Linked DNA regions of Drosophila melanogaster. The protein of the gene in region 2 interacts with the protein of the main gene of each other region in a pairwise test. Each region holds a gene or a part of one and is shown on either strand. Other genes may lie near its edges.

What was found.
Region 1: the proteins of CIAPIN1 (region 2) and Grx3 interact in a two-hybrid assay, tested with the Drosophila melanogaster proteins (one large-scale study listed by BioGRID).
Region 3: the proteins of CIAPIN1 (region 2) and CG13667 interact in a two-hybrid assay, tested with the Drosophila melanogaster proteins (one large-scale study listed by BioGRID).

Annotation. Positions count from the first base shown.
Region 1 is NT_033779.5:13,363,746-13,368,685, forward strand, and holds Grx3 (glutaredoxin 3), read left to right. Parts: upstream 1-2,701; 5' UTR 2,702-2,785; coding exon 2,786-2,995; intron 2,996-3,059; coding exon 3,060-3,322; intron 3,323-3,385; coding exon 3,386-3,563; 3' UTR 3,564-3,665; downstream 3,666-4,940. Other genes in the region: Nnp-1, read right to left, coding at 268-2,331; Tap42 (Two A-associated protein of 42kDa), read left to right, coding at 3,979-4,101, 4,172-4,940.
Region 2 is NT_033779.5:15,034,720-15,040,910, reverse strand, and holds CIAPIN1 (cytokine induced apoptosis inhibitor 1), read left to right. Parts: upstream 1-2,049; 5' UTR 2,050-2,135; coding exon 2,136-2,271; intron 2,272-2,360; coding exon 2,361-2,857; intron 2,858-2,925; coding exon 2,926-3,039; 3' UTR 3,040-3,182; coding exon of another isoform or gene 3,183-3,860; 3' UTR 3,861-3,919; coding exon of another isoform or gene 3,920-4,325; 3' UTR 4,326-4,336; intron 4,337-4,390; 3' UTR 4,391-4,618; downstream 4,619-6,191. Other genes in the region: Su(H) (suppressor of hairless), read right to left, coding at 591-974; yellow-c, read right to left, coding at 3,183-3,860, 3,920-4,325, 5,115-5,347. UniProt on the Drosophila melanogaster protein: Component of the cytosolic iron-sulfur (Fe-S) protein assembly (CIA) machinery. Required for the maturation of extramitochondrial Fe-S proteins.
Region 3 is NT_037436.4:8,402,720-8,408,629, reverse strand, and holds CG13667 (uncharacterized protein), read right to left. Parts: upstream 3,177-5,910; 5' UTR 3,149-3,176; exon of another isoform or gene 3,094-3,148; 5' UTR 3,091-3,093; coding exon 1,342-3,090; 3' UTR 1,276-1,341; downstream 1-1,275. Other genes in the region: Oseg1 (outer segment 1), read left to right, coding at 1-119, 177-377, 439-559, 618-774, 831-1,108, 1,164-1,259; Tpt (tRNA 2'-phosphotransferase), read left to right, coding at 3,433-4,071; mkg-p (monkey king protein), read left to right, coding at 4,122-4,527, 4,580-5,910.

The DNA of each region.
Region 1 (4,940 bases), 1.7 Mb from region 2:
AAGCATAGTAACGGTGCTCTCGAAACTAAACAAAAGGGCTTTAACATTGTAAAATAGAAAAATATAGCATGGAAACTTTCGTGTGTATAGACGTATTATAAAACCAGCATAAGACATGCCTATTGTGGATGTGTTATCTTATACTGCCTTATAAGGAAGTAGTATGATGCGAAGCGCTCCCCCTTCTTCATCGTCCCTCAGAGCACTAAGTCCAAATTAATCTTCCTCATCCTGTCCCAATCCCAGTCGCTGCCACTAGACGCTTTGTCACAGAGTGTCGTTGAACAAGCGCTTGGCCTTGTAGCTCGGATGAATCGGTCCCGGTATCCAGTGTGGCTTAAGGGCACTCTTACCGGGCAACCGATTCGCGTCGTAGGGCACCTGCGGAGACAGCTTCAGCTGGCGGTAGTAATCGCTCTTGGGGTAGATGCAGTTGCTCTTAGTCACGATCCGCACATGCTTGCCACTGCCCGTTTGTGGAGTCGCAAACTCTGCGCGCGCAGGCTGTTTGGGTGTGGACTGCGGCAGCTTACTGTTGGCCTGCTTCACTTGCAGTTTTCGAGAGGGAACAAAGATGTCCTGCTCACCGTCCTCTAAAGGGGCATCCCATCCGTTGGTCGGAGCATCATCATCAACACCGGCAGCCTTCGTTTTGGGAGTCGGCTTGGCCTTGGACTGTCCCTCCACCTTAGGTGTGGGCTTGGGCTGCTCGTCTGTCTTCGGCTTCGACTGCTCCTCCTTCGTCTTGGAGTGGTCCAATTTCTTGCGCTTCGCAGGCTCTTCTTTTTCTGCCTTCAAGGTCGGTTGATCCTCTATCTTGGGCTTGGACTGGTCATTCTTCGGCTTAAGCTGGCTTTTCTTCTTCACCTTCGTCTGGTCATCTTTGTTCTGCTGTGGCGGTTCTTCCTTTTTTGCTTTCTTCGACTTGGGCTCGGCCTCCTTGACCTCCTCTACTACCCATGCGTTGTTTATGCTAGAACGCACCTTTGCATTGTAATTCACCTTCTTCTGCAGCTCAGGAGGCAGAGCCTTGCTAATAACCTCATCGTAGTTGTGCTCGTCCACCTCCTCAAAGTTAATGGACTGCAGTAGGCGTTTGCGTTTGGATTTGTTGAGCTTCTTCAGTTTTCTTCCGGTTGCAAAGACCTCGTCCTCCATCTTATCTAAGGCAGCCACTTTTTGCTCCACCATTTCGGACAGAGTTTGTCCCTCCACCTTTGGCATTGTCCTCACGCCAAGTGGAAACTCTCCTCTCTGGTAAGTCTCAAAGATCTGGATAAGTTTGCGCAATCCCTTGCGTCTCTTGCTGTTAAAATCGTTGGTGCGTAGCTGCGTCTGCAGCTCATCTAGTACGCAATCAGCGTTGAGCGGCAGCTCCGGCATGTGAACGTCCACGTTGCCCGCTCGGGGATCCAAGGATGTGGCCCGCGGCTGCTCCTCCTCGGCGTTGACCTCGTCATCCTCCTCGTCAAATCCAGAATCTAGTTTCTCAATGTCATCAATGGAGGCGGTGGGGAAACCCATCTGCTTCCAGGCATTGTACTTTTCGCTGTACTGTCGTCCTAAGTCGCTCTGGTACATCAGATGATAGAGTACCCTTGTGCGGCACTGTGCCACTAGCTTAGCATCGCGTTGTGTAGCAATGTAGGTGACAAACGGACGCAAGAACATATTAACCTGAGCAGCAGTGATCTCACCATTGGCCGCCTTGGCCAGCTCCTCAAAGAAAACATCTAGGTAGTGCATGGTCATGCCGCGAGACTTAGGCTGCTCCGACATCACAGAAAGCTGCATGCTGCTGTTGAATGCGGCTATCAGGTCCGCATTCCAGTTGTTCTGTTTGAGGAATCTCAGTAGATAACGCACCATGCGGCGGGTGAGCATCAGGAATTTGTCCATGCGCCACTGATCTATGCCAAAGTACTCCTGGCACATTGTGCGCATAAACGCACTAAAGTAGGCCAGACTGCAGGCCGTATTACCGCCGAAGCTGTCCACCATTTGAGCCAACTTCTCGGCCAGCTCCTCCTGCACCAGCGGCTTATCCGACATCCACATGGTGTAGTACAATCCCTTCCAGATGCGCATGAAGTCGTCCTCGTTGAAGGGAAAGGAGCTACCGGCACGCGCCTTGAACCACTTGCGCAAAATGCGGATCTGGCGATTACGCTCCACCACATCGTTGCAGGCAAGAGCACGTATAATTTTCACCTCCTGGGCGACCACCATCAGCTCCTTGGCCACCTTCGGCTGTGAAGCGTCCTCCTCCTGCTCGACCTGGATTTCGGCCGCCTCGGCGTTGCGCTTAACTGGCTTCTTGCGCGTCACCATTATCCGGCTAATTCAACTTTTAGTTGCGAAAAATAAGTGAGCTGTGTATATTGAATACGGTACGGCACGACCGCACGTGTTGCCGTTCGATGTTGCCAGATGTTGAAACGACATTTTCTCCAAATTTCGTCCAACAGCTCTAAATGCATGAGCTGTACTGAAAATGACAACAAAAACTCAAGCTAATGAAATAATTTTCAAAGAATAAAATAAAGAAAAAAAGAATAATAAAAAGAATATTTAAATTGCTAGTTTTGATACTTCATGAAACGCTTGCTTTATACATTTTAATACAATTTTATATATTTTTAGCCATTTATAGGTTGTTATTTTATAGCTACCAGCGCTGACTTCTTTACGGAAAGTGGCAACTCTCTTCCACAGCTGATAATTCGGTCTGCTTTTTGTAAATTTTGCTTGTCCAGCAAATTTAGTTAAATAATTCAAAGAAATCATGCCCGTGGTGAACGTGTCGGCTGCCGAGGAGTACCAGAAGTACATTAATGCGGATAAGACGACCGTAGCTCTATTCGCCGCCGAATGGGCAGAGCAATGCGGTCAGGTGAAAGACGCGCTGGAGGAGCTGGCCAAGATTACTGGCGAAAAACTGCAGTTCATCAGCCTAAACGCTGAACAATTTCCCGAGATTTCCATGAAACATCAGGTACGCTCGTATTTATTTTATGAAAATATAACAGTAGTTCCTCATTCATTTGCGATGCCACCAGATCGAGGCCGTGCCCACAGTCATATTCTTCGCCAAGGGCTCCGCCGTTGACCGTGTCGATGGTGTAGACATCGCCGCCATAAGCGCCAAATCCAAAAAGTTGGCCGAAAACGCAAGCAGCGCGGCGGCAACAGGACAAACGTTGGAGGAACGCCTAAAGGCCCTAATCAATACAGCTCCGCTGATGATATTCATGAAGGGCGACCGAAATGGACCGCGTTGCGGATTCTCCAAGCAGCTCATCGGCATTGTGAACGAAACCAAGTATGCAAATTGATCATCAGTTGTATTTGATTTCAAGTTATAAACGAAAATATCCTTCGATAGCTTGCCGTACGAGACATTTGACATCCTCGGCGACGAAGAAGTGCGTCAAGGCCTGAAAACCTACTCCGACTGGCCCACATATCCCCAGGTTTACGTCAAGGGTGAACTTATCGGCGGACTCGATATTATTAAGGAACTGCTGGCGAACAATGAGCTCGAGTCCACGCTAAAGGGCTAATTCCATCGGATTGCATCTACTCCTACAGACACCATAAACCAGAAACAAATTTTTAGCTAGATCCTTAGACTTTTTAATGGTTTAATAAAGGATTTTTGCTACATTCTGGTATTATTTTATTCATCGAAATTTTTAATAACAATTGTATTAAAGCAAATGTGCTATAGGTCATCCATAAGACATCTTACACGGGCTTCAATGGTGTCACCATAAATGTTTACAAACTTAACGACATAAATATAGCTAGAAATTTGTAAGAACTTTTTTATACACCAGCCCTGGTTTATCTGGTATTTTGCGTACCTTCATTTTGTAAACAGCTGTTTCGGCGTCGGCATCTTGCACATTATTTTCGCAATATTATTTATATTATTGAAAATACCCATTAACTATAAACTTATATCCAAATCTTTAAATGGCTGAGGGTAATACCGCTGGCGGAGAGGACCAAAAGCTGACGGACATCTTTCTAAAGGGCTGGAACATATTCGACGAGCTAGAAGTTACCGAACTGCCCTTCAATGGCAGCGAATTTCAGGTGTGTAATATTGAAGATCTTCATATATATGTAATAAAAACCAGCATTGAACGTTTACCACAACGTTTAGAACAAAGTGAAGACTGCAATGGGCCTTTTCGAGCAGGCCACCGTCATTGTGAACCAGGTTAGCATGTTCAGTGCCAACGAGTTGATCGACGAGGTGTCCACGGAATCGCTACCATTCATGCTGCTCCCTTACTTTCTGGGCAAGCTTACCACTAAGATCAACAGCCCCAATAACACACACTCCATAGAGCTGGGCGAGATTTACTTCAAGGACCACCTGCAGCGTTGCCAGGAGTATGATCTCTGTGCAGCGCCCAAATCTCAGGTGGCTAAGGCGGATAGCCAAGCGGAAAAAAGCGAGCAGCGCGAGCTGGTAGAGGCAGCCTTCAATAGAAACGACAAAATAGCCCAGTATCGCCGGATGAAGGAGATTGACGAGTATATGGCCAGAATGCGCGATGCAGTCAAGAACAAAACGGTCGACGATGAGGATAAACGTGTCTTTTTCCTCAAGTATTTGGACAAGAGTATAATAGACTCCAAGCAGGAATTAGAAACATTGGGCGTAATGAAGCAGCTGGCCCAGATGCGCCTTGCCCGATTGGCTGGTGGCGAATCCGACAACGAAGTGGATTCGTTCCGTCCACCGAATCAAAATCAATCTTCTGCATCGTCCACCTCCCGCGGTCATGGTCACAGCCACGGACCCGGACACCACCACCATCATCAGCAGGCCGCTAAGCCAAAGCCCTTGCAGCCCTTCATCATAACACGTAATGCCACCCAGAAGGCGGTTTTCGGCTTGGGATACCCCAGTTTGCCCATTATGA
Region 2 (6,191 bases):
TTTGCGGGCAGTCGAGTGTGAAGGATTCCCATTTGGCGGCAGTCGTCGCTTGAAGATCGCCACCGCTAAAAGCAACCGCGACAATTTTATTCCATTTTCATGTCTGCGTTCGCCAAAAACCGCAAAAATGTAACACTTTAAAGTGGACAATGGAAACACTAGCACCTTTAAATAGTGGGTGTGGTTTTGGCGTTGCGGACTGACCGATTAGATTAAAACTAAATTATAAAAAAAAAATAAATATCTTGTAAAGCATACAAGTAATTTTCAAAGAAAGGATACATCGTTAAACTTGAAATAGAAAGAAAATCTGAATTTAATCTATTTAATCTAAAAAATCGAATAATTTAGGAAATCGACGTACAAAACTGACCAAGTTTCTAATTTAAATGAAAGTTAGGATATCCTACGTTTCTCCAGTTTGGGTTAATATATTTTTAGTAATATTGAAATAATGTATTTCAAGCTTCAAATAATTTAATTAAGACTTAAGACTCAGGAGTTCCCTTGTATGTTTTAGAATATCTTGAATACTAAATCCAGACCAAGCACCTGATAATACCGGCTTAAAAGTGGAAATCCTTTCGTACCTTGGCGTGCAGGATAACGATGACCATGTCGTTGCGCTCGCGCATGTACTTCTCCATGGCGTCCCGCGTGAGCTTCTTCTCCTCGATGTGTGGCCGGTAAGGACCCGGCAGCAAGGACATCTGCATTTGTTGTTGATGCTGCTGTTGTTGTTGTTGTTGTTGCTGCTGCTGCTGCTGTTGGTGGTGCACTTGCAATTGTTGTTGCTGCTGCTGCGACGACGGCGGCTGCGGACCGGGCAGTCCAAAGTGCGGCATATCCTGGCTCTGTTGTTGCTGCTGCTGGTGAGGATCGAGGGGTGAGCCGTTGGGATTTACAACCGTAGTTTCGTAGGCAATGGCGGGCGGGGCGGCGGCGTTTAAATTAAATTGGCTGTAGCTCTTCATTTATGCACATGTCTCCTTGCATTGAACTTATTGGAATTTTGTTTGGATCTTTTCTATTATTTCGTTTTTGGCTATTTGGCAAATTCGTTTGGCACTTTATACACTGTTCGCTGGTGCTGTTTTTGTTGTTGTTGTTGCTGCTGTATGTTTTCTATTTTGTTATCCTGCTGCACAAACACACACGCAGAGCAGCTGTCGTTTCTCTCACGCACTCTCTTCCTCTTAACCGCGGATTGGCTTTGTTGTTGTAGCTCAAGCTGGATTTGCGGCTAGCTGCGATTCACGACTAATCACACATATTTCAGCGTTTCGAGCAGATCTTGACTAGCGACTAGCGGTAGTGGCGGCTGGCTTCTGTTTAAGGCTGCAACTAGCGCTCGAGTTATATTTATAATATGCTACAACTAAAAAAGCGACTGAGGATGTTGATGTTGTATCGATAGTCCGATAGGCGCTTATTTATGATAGTCGCTGCCTACCGGCGATATGTTTGTCGCTTCACAGCACTGTTGGTTGGATTTGGATGGCAGTGGGCATTTGGTTATTTTATAGCCAATTTGGAGTAGCTAATATATTTTGTTTTAACTTTGCAGTTTCTGAATACATTTGTATATTTATTCCCATCACATCACTGTTAAAGATATTATTTCTTATATCTATAAATACTTTTAACTGATGCGAAAGGTATCGATTTTCATTGAACACTTCGATTTTGAGCGCCCACATTTAAAATTCAAGGTACAAACTACCAACCTTCTTGTCTAACTGTCCATGCATTTTTAAAACGGGCCGTGGGAAAGTACACATGGGTGAATTTAAAAGATAATTCGCGACTTTAGGCTTAAATGTAACCGTTTAAATAGGTTTAGTGGCAGAAACACACAATATGCAACTAAAAGCTGTTAATTATGTATCAGAATGTAAGCTGTAACTCATTAAAAAACGAATCTGGTGGAGTACACTTAGTTATTCATATATTTTAGCAGTCACAGTGTAAAGTGGAAAAATCTACAATCACTGAATATCATTTGCAATCCGATAGGCAGGTACAATCGATATCACCGCTCGATTTTCGGTGCATTGCCATATCTAACTTGTGAAATCAAAAATCGGTTCCGTTCGGTGCTTGAACTTTTGAGATATTCTAGAAACACATCCACAATGGAGAACTTTAAGGGTCTACAAAAATCCCTATACATATGGACGGACAGCGCCGACTTGGACAAGCGCGTGGAGCAACTAAAGGCGGCCACTGGCGGCGATGTGGCTTTGGAAAATGTGCACCGCCTTTCGTTTTGTAAGTTGCGTGCGGTGCGGTGTGTGTGTGCTGTTTTTGACTAGCCAGTGAGTCAGCAGATTAAAATCAGTGATGTTTATGCATTACAGCTTCCTATGCCAACTCCAGTTTCGACCTGATTGTGATCGAGTGCGCCCAGCTGACCGACAGTTACGTAAAACTGCTGCACATGCTGAAACCGAGTGGCAAACTGCATTTGGTGTCCTACATCGGTCCGGCGGCTAGTTTGCTGCAGGAGATCAAGCTATCCGGATTCATAAACTGTCGCGAGGACTCTCCAGATGCTTTGACCGCCGAGAAGCCTGGCTACGAGACAGGATCCTCAGCCAGGTTGTCATTCGCAAAGAAGAACGCCAGTGCAGTCAATGTGTGGAAGATAAGCGGTGACGATGAGGAACTGATCGATGAGGAGGAGCTGCTGGACGAGGAAGACAAACAGAAGCCGGATCCGGCTGGTCTGCGTGTCTGTAGCACCACGGGCAAGCGCAAGGCGTGCAAAAACTGCTCCTGCGGGCTGGCCGAGGAATTGGAGACTGAAAAACAGAGCCAGAAGGCCACCGAGAATGCCAAGTCAAGCTGTGGAAATGTGAGTTCTCTTAACCCCGATGTGAGTTAGCATTAACCTCGATTATAACTGATTTCTTATATGCACAGTGTTATCTCGGCGACGCCTTCCGCTGCTCCACTTGCCCCTATTTGGGCATGCCCGCCTTTAAGCCCGGTGAGAAGGTGCAACTGGCCGACAACCTCCTGAAATCCGACATTTAACTTAGGCTCACCATGGTATACCCAATCAATCACATTTCAAATAGTTTATTAAGCTGACTTACTAACAAACAATAATGTCATAATGTAAATACAAAAATGCACCGCGTCATAAACACAGCATGTAGATTTAAATATCCAAGTGATCACATTTCGCATGGTGTACCCTTGATGAGATCGCGGTTCTGGCCCATCAAAATACGATAGTTGACGGCCGAGGGATCGAGTTCCTTGTACAAATATGTCGGCATCTTGTCGGACAGCACCCAAATAGTGCCTTCATTGTCGATTTTCATGTCATTTGGAAAGACCAGAGTGTGCGAATCGGAATCGATTAGCCCCTGGGTGTCCGGAGTGTATGGACGCTTGATGTTCCAACAAGCAATGGCGTCTTTGTTCACCTGCGTATAGAAGATGACGCCGGTCTCGGGGTCAAAGACCTCGGCGGTGGACTGGCCATTCATGCCACGGTCACCAACGTATTTAAAATCGTAATACGAATCGCCAGCGGTCACGTGTGATTCGTTTTGCAGCACGCGGTTCGAAACCTTGAACTCCTTGGTACTGGCCAGGGCATGGAAATAAATGTCCTTGGAGTGATCTGGATTCATTGGGCCCACGGCCAGCCCAAAAACGCCATCCGTCCACTGGAAGTTCACGCCGCCCACATTGAAATCACCATGCAGAGGATCGAAGTGGAAGAAGTTGTGCTTGACGCGGTAGGATTTGTCGTTCCTCAGGGAGTACACAATCACACCGTAGGCACCCAAATCCGGAATGTAAGCAAAGGCATCTTGGCACTCCGAGCGGTCCGCATCCACAACCTAAATATTGATTAATTCGATCAGTTTGGAATTTAAATAATACGCCTATGCATACTCACAATATTCGCAAAGAACGAGTCCTCTTTGGTCTGATCAGCGGGAATGGTGAAACGGCGCAGTAAAGTATCTGTTTTCAAGTCGAAAACCAGGATTGAATTGGGCGTAATCTGCTTGGGACTGCCCAGGATGTCGGCCAAGCCAGTATCGAGCACCCACAGGCGATCGCATACGTCGACTTGAATTCGGAAGGTGGAAATGACAGTGGAGTTGTCCTTCAGCTGGATGCCGGCATCTTGAGCCTTGTCCGCGTCCAGACGTCCACCGGATGGTGTCTTTTGGTCCTGTGGCTGCACATCGATGGGCAGCTTGTTGGCCTCCCAACTGGGATACGGATGCAGCTTTGGCGACTTCTCCGTCGAATTAATGTCGATGTAGTTGAGTGTGGCAGCAACACCAGCCTTCCATCTAAAGGGAAAGTAGATCATTTAATAATGAGGAGAAATAAATTAACTAAAAAATTTACATTTCAGACTTGTTTAGTTACTAATTACATTTAAACCTGACACTGGCAAGTAACAAATTAATAACATTAAAAAGTACCATTCACCTGCGCAATTATTATGACTGATTGGATATAGTCTAATATAAGCTATAGTTTTAATTTATATCTTAGCACTATCAGTTAAAACTTTGACGGCAACTATAGCTTAAATAATTATGCTGTATTATCAACAAAATATACTTTTTTTACGTATCTTATTTTTCGAAATGTTTTTAAATCGAATTTTGTTTTGATTACTCATATCTCCCGAAAAGCAGAATGGTTTTCGGGGCTTTTTGGCCAATAAGCGCATCGGTGGTAAATCCCAAAAAGGTGACGTCACAAAGACTTTGTTTACTAGTTACCTAGTTAGCCTTTTATGGGATCCATAATATTCCATAGAATTTTCCGATCATGTGTTTTCTCTTATTAATTTATAATTAACCTCATGTTACGATTTGCATTTAGAAACCACGATTTAAAATGCAAAATAGACATACACAAATGGGGTAAAAAATGATAAAGTTAACTAGCCAGCGAGGAAACCGGTTTCCCCTCCTGACGCTCGATGATTTTGCAAGTCTAGCTTGACATTTAATTACAAACCAAGCCAACAAAAAAGGTAAATAATAAGAAAAAAAAAGAAAACCTAACTACAGCTTACCGTAAGTTTGTTGTCTCTTTTTTTTTTGTCTATGAATTTGGTTACTTACCTTGGCACAGTGACAAAGATTCTGTTTTGCCAACGCTCCACGCCCAGCGGCAGGTTGTTCTCCACGATGTAGTGGCCATTCGACTTGGCCTCCGCCTCGGCCTCCGGAGTGGGCCAATCGAAGGCCAGTTGCTTCCACGAGAACTTCTCCTCCAGCTTGGCCGATGCAATCCGGCTGAAGGCGCCGATAAGGCACACCATTAAGCCCAGGCTCAACATTCCTAGTGGGTTCATTTTGGATTTTTCAATTATTCGATTTTTTTTGGATTGCTCGTTTCTTTTTTTTTGGACCTCCGTTCAGTTCGAGTTGAGCGCGCTAACTGCAAGAGCTTAGTTTGGAATCGGGCTTAATATGCTGGCTTGGATCCCAAACAAGCGGAGCTTTAAGCTCACAGTACACAGATATTCGATCCCGTGGAGTTATAAACTGTTATACCAAGTGCCCAGCTGCAAGTTAATGGTTATTGCGATGGGCTGGGACTTAAAATTAGCAACATAACCGGAAGGAAGATCTGGAATTTACTTGTTAATGCTTTAAAAATACTTTTTTGCTCGCTCGAATAAAATCAATCGAACAGTGAACCTCGTTTTCAGTTTGTAACTAATGGGTCAATTACTGCATTGATATATATATAACAGAATGAAAAAGAATTTTGAGTATTTAAAATAAAATAATATTGCCAAAGCCTTTACATGTTTAAAAAAATTTTAAGAAATTTTCATTTAATAATTATTAAACTGCATAAACAATTCAAACTCTGATTTATGAATAAAGGTTATTGATTCTCTCATTTAAAATGCAGCACGAGTGGGATGCGAAGTAAATGTTTGTTGCTTTTAAGAACGATTTGTATTTTAAGAAACGAATTTGTGGACAATGTCTGATAATTGAGTCTGAAATTTTAAAAGCAAATGAACTTGAAATTTAAAAATGTTACCTGTAAGTTAAGCCTAAAAATATTTGACTTCTCTAAAAAGGCACATTAATTGTTTTAAAAATCTTAAATCCCACAAATAAAACAAATTAAGACTAAGAGTAATAATATGGCATAAACATTAAACACCCAAACCAATAAAT
Region 3 (5,910 bases), on a different chromosome or scaffold from region 2:
GCCAATCGTTTGCTTAAGCAACTGAGCAATACGGCCATCGTGGAGGAGCGCTACTTGGATGCGAGCTACTTTTATTGGCTGCTGGCCAAGCAACATTTAGATGTATATCACGCCAAGGAGTAAGTGAAATATTACAATCAGTGCACTTCTTAATTTCTAAAACTTTTGTTTTATAGAGAACAAAATCCTGTTGATCACCACCTTACGGAGTACAAAAATCATTTACGTGTTGCCAAGGTTTATTACGCCTACAGTGTCATATACTCATATATGAAAGAACCATTCACCACACATTCCCCAGTTAGCCTATTTAACGTAAGCCGCTTTATACTAAACGAAGTGGAGCACAAAGGTGTCCCCAAAGGTGTCAGCATGTTGTAAGTTAAGAGCTCAAATCGCAAAAGTAGAACGTGAATCGACAGAAATCCTATCTTCCAGTTCGGTTCTCTTCACTCTGGCCAAGCAAGCTAAGTTTTTGCAGGCCAACAAGTTATGCCTTCTTATTAACAAGAGACTGCAGTCGTTGAAGCCACCAGCTGGAGTCCAAGAGCAGATTGATGTGAGTGATGTGAAAACATTAATCATCCAAATGATATGCTTATGAAGTACCTTTTCAGCTAAATTTTCTAAATAGCAAGGCTTGCAAAAGTGGCTTCAATGATCCGGAGGAGCTTTTGCCACTATGTTACAAGTGCTCCAACTACAGTCAACATTTGAATAGCAATTGCTGTCCCACTTGCCGGCAGGATTATATTTTCTCTTTCGTTTCCTTCGGTATGGAATTTTGTCTATTAGCTTAGATATCTGATAATGATGATGCCTCTTTTTAGAAATTCTACCCCTAGTACAATTTTATCCAGAAGTGGATATCTCTGATGCCGAGGCGGAGCGCTTGCTGCTGGCTCCTGCAAAGCACGCCGAGGATTCGGATCCATTTAACGAGGATGTGGCCAGTGCATTGCCTTTGAGCTTGGATCGCAATGGCCTGCGTGCCATAGATCCCAATCATGTGCTGATTCTTAAACGGAGGGGAAAGAATGTGCGGAATGTGTACTATCGTAATATATTACCCGATCTTCAGGTTACCTATTGTCCTCAATGTCTGCTGGTAAGGTTATACAAACCACATCATTTCATTTCGTATATTAAGTAACCCTTTTTAGCTTTTCTATGCGGAGGACTTTGAGCTGCAAGTGCTGCAAAAAGGTCACTGTCCCTTTTGTCACACATCCTCCGAAAAGCTGATGGAAGACTTTTGAAATCGACATAAGAAGTGTGTGCAAATATATAATTTCCGTCCAAAACTGTACAAATAGGAACTATACGCAAATAAATACGGTGTTACGCCCAGGTTTCCTCCTGATATCGTCGCTGTTTTATCATTAGTTCCACGTAATCGGCATCGCCATCTAGTATCTCGATAAAGGCCTCTTTGACAGACTTTGGCATATTATTGGAGTTGCCAGCCACGTAGATATAGGCATTCAGGTCTTTTATAAGCCTCGCCAGATGAGCACCATTCTTGGCGATTAAATGCTGGACATAGACCTTCTGATCCTGATCCCTCGAGAAGGCAGTATGGGCCTCTACCTGTTTCGCATCGGTCCAGGTGGAGAAGTCATTTCCAAAGTGGAAATCGGCAGCTTTGTTCCGACAGCCAAAGAAAACAACCAAGGGACCAATTGTGGCACCTTTTGATTGAGCATACAATCGGTTTTGGATAATGCTACGGAATGGAGCGATGCCTGTGCCAGGTCCTACCATTATAAGTGGTATACTTAAGTCTTTTGGCCAGACCATGGTTCCTCTTTTGACAACTCCGCTCAACTCAGTACCCGATTTCAAAGTCTTCAGCCAGTTGGAGCATAAGCCCAGACGTGGAGTATGCATTATGGTTTTGTACTCCACAACGGCCACCAGCAAGTCCAAACTTAAGGCGGAAACATCCGAGGCAATGGAAAAACTGCGTGGCTGGATCAGTGGCATCATCTCAAAGAGCTGTTGCAGAGTTAAGCTAGAGGTGGCGTGCCGGAAATCCTCCAGAACCTCCAAAAGATTACGACGCGGCCTGTTCACATAAGCCACTAAGTCATCAATTCCCTCCGCGGAGGAGAATTCGAGCAGCTTTTCCTTTTCCATTTCATCGCAGCAATTCTGTGCTAGTACCTCGAGGAAACGTTGCCGTGGCTTAGCACTCAAGTCCCAAACGAATTTGGCGGCCTGGAGGAGGCTTAAGGGATTGGAATAGGCTATGGGAAGGGGCATATCCTGATGTGCACTGGATACCTCCACTATAGTGCTCTCATCGAAGTTCAGGCTGTGTTCGCGAATAAGGTCGAAGAATGTTTGGACAGCTTCATCGCTGTTTTGCGGCTGAACATCGAGTACATCGCCGGGTTCCCAGCTAAGATCTTCAGTCTGACACTGCAGCCTTAGGAAGCGTACATCCTGAAAGTGATCCACCGCCGTTGTTCTTTGGTTATCCAGAATTTTGAAAGAGTGGGCAGTTTGTTTTTGGCTCCAGAGCAGATTGTCCATCGGAGCAATTTGGGAATCCTTAGGCAGCTCCTTTACTGACCACTTTACAGTAGTTTGGTGGCTGTTGCTAAGTTTACTTTCGTCAAGACCAGAGATGCCTTTCAGAGCTGTCCACAAATCCTTTGTCCAGCTAAGGGATACACCCAAATGCCCGTAGTCATGCTGATCATCACACAGACCCACTGGACACACGCTATTTGCTCCCAGATTCTGTAGTCTCTTGCTCAGTTTCTTGGCGGCATAGTTAAACTTCGGATAGCTGGAGTCCCCGAGTCCAAGGCACGCGAACTGCATGCCTTGCAAGGATTGGGCGGGTAAGCTGCGCTTCAGGAGAAATCGCCAGGCCAGCTTCATGTTATCCGGCTCCACTCCGTCACCCGTAGTGGCCACCACAAAGACCACGAGGCGCTCCTCAATAAGTTTGGTCATATCGTACTCGTCGAAAGGCAGCACGGGTCCTTGGAAGCCCAGTTGATGCGACTCCCGCCAGATCTGTTCCGCCACATCCTGGGCGGTGCCGGTTTGACTCCCGTAGAGCACTAACAGCCGCATTTTCTACAATTCAGAATTTTCGAATAAAATTTACTGATTACCGTATTTCATATGTTACAATTTGCGCATAACAGCCTGGTCCTCAAACTTAACAGCACGCTGTTACGCTGCACTGTTATGTTATAGAAACTACGGGTGCCGAAATACCAAAATAATTGAAATTGAAATTAGTATTTCATTCATTCGTTTCTAGTAGCGTTGTAGCTCTTCTTCTTTTTCTTCGAATAGTGATGAACCTAAAAACATCGATAGTCTTAAATGTCGATGCATCGCCACCTCTAATAGAAACGCAATTAAACATATTGCATTGTTTTGCGTAAATAAAAGTAAGTTTCGCAGGCAATGGCCTCGAATCAGCAAATCAATACGCAGCTAAGCAAAAAGCTATCCTGGCTGTTGCGGCACGGTGCGAAAACGGAGGGAATCACGATCCGTGCTGATGGATTTGTTAGCGTTCCCGATTTGCAGAAGCACCCACGCTACTTGTGCTTCACCTTAGAAAAACTGAAGGAGATTGCCGCCGCGGATGCCAAGCAACGATATACTCTTCGCTGGAATCCAGAACTCGGAGTCCATGAGATTCGCGCCAATCAGGGACACTCATTGGCGGTGCTGGAAGGCGAAGCTGGCGGTCTCGAGAATATTACCCATGTGAGCCAGGTACCCCTGGCAGTTCATGGCACCTATTACAGACATTGGGGGGCAATTAGAAGCCAAGGGCTAAGTAGGATGAACCGCAACCATGTGCACTTTGCATGCAGCGATGAGACCAATTCCACTCTGAGTGGATTCCGCAGCGATTGCCAGATTTTGATATATCTAAACGTGGAAAAGGTGCTGGCGGACGGCATACCCATCTATCGATCCAGCAATAATGTACTGCTCTGTCCGGGAATTGAAGGCTTCATACATAGTTCCTACTTTCAGCGTGTAGTGGACAAGAAAACGGGGCAACCCTTACAAATTGATCATTGTTATTGAATAGAATAAACCTGGCCGTTAAGCAGTAATTAAAACGATTTTTTACAGAAATGCCGGCCCCTGCCTCGGAATCAACTTCTCCGCCTGGGGATGGTGACGGTAATCTTGTGCTTTGCATGGTATGCGCTGCTCCCTTCCGGAGTATGCAGGATTGCCTTGCCCACGAGCTGATCAAGCACGCCAGCAAGCCACAAAAGCAACTGCGACAGCGATTGAACGCCATTACCAAGCTATTTAACAGCGCACAAAGCCAATCCGAGCGTCAAGAGCTGCGGGAGGCTCTCGAATGGTCCGAGTCCGGCGGGCACTTGTGCACCGTATTGAATTTCTTTGCTTGTGATCTCGAAAATATGAAAACCTGCTTCGGGCACGTCCGGAACTGCATAGAGAAGGAGATGAGGGGCAGGGTTAGGGTGTTCCCCTTTGGTTCACTGGTTACGGGTTTAGCACTGAAGGGTAAGTGATCACCAGTACAAGAAAAGCACATAATCCGAATCCTTTTCCGCAGAGAGCGACATCGATTTGTTTCTGGAGCCCAACGGCAACCAGCCACCATTGTTCCATAATCAGCTATACAACAAGACCTCACACTTTTTACGAAGATCCAAATGCTTTGCGGATGTCTTCACCATTCGTCATGCCAGCGTGCCCATCATTAGATGTAAGCATCAGCTCACCGGACTCAACATAGACATCAATATGTCAAATCCGAATAGCATATATAACTCCCGATTTGTGGGCGAACTGATGTTTCGCAATGAGCGGATACGCGAGCTCTGCCTGTTTTTGAAAATTTGGGCCAAGAAGCTAAAATTGATTAGTCATGGCGGCATGACAAGCTATTGCTTAATATCCTTGATCATCGTTAACTTGCAAGTGAATCGACTAGTGCCCTCCGTCAAAGAGCTCCAGTCACTCTGTCCACCGGTTATTTTGTCGGGCGTTAACTATGCCTACAGCCTGGACCTAACGCCGCCGATCCCAGCACGGCTCACCACGCTGGATTTACTTAAAAACTTCTTCATATACTACTGCACTGTCAACTTTGACAAAAGTGTATTGAGTCCGTTTCTGGGCGGCTGTGTGGACAAGGAGACAACACTGGGCATGCCGGGAGGTTTTCCCGAGTACGATGAGCAACAAAAGCTCGTGCATGATGCAATAGGTGCGCCGCCAGACGCTTTCCAGCTGGATAGGGCCATGTGCGTACAGGATCCCTTCGAGCTCAGTCGCAACGTGGCCAAATCAGTGTCCATTTCAAATTTATGTTACTTTAGACAATGCCTAGTCCTGGCAGCTCAAGCGTGCAGCGATCAGGAACTAACTTCGCAACCAGAGAAGCTATACGACTACCTATTATTTGGCCTGGCGGATAAGTTAGTAGCCGACAAAATAGTGGCAGATAAAAGATCAGAAAGGGCTACGCCGCGAAAGCAACAAAAAATTGAAAACGCCCATGTGCAACCGCCAATCGTCGATGAGACACAAGAAACAAAAGTCGCCGAAGTCGGAGTTTGTGGGACACCGCCCTTAGTGCGATCACACGTCATCACGCCCACCACAAACGATGTCAAATGCCTGCGCTCCATTGTGCTGGTCAAGAACACGGAGAACGATCAGAGCATATATTACTACTGGTTGATCTGCTACGTGGACACTATAAAGGATGTGCTAACTCAACTGTATGCTTTGAATGTGGAACTTAAAGAATCGAAGGAGCCGAAACACTACAAGTGGCTAATCAGCATTTCTTACGACACTTGGACAGGACGCTCTTTCCAACGTGGCGCCGGTCAATCTTTCTTCGCCCACCAGTTGCAGCAGACGATTGAGTTTACG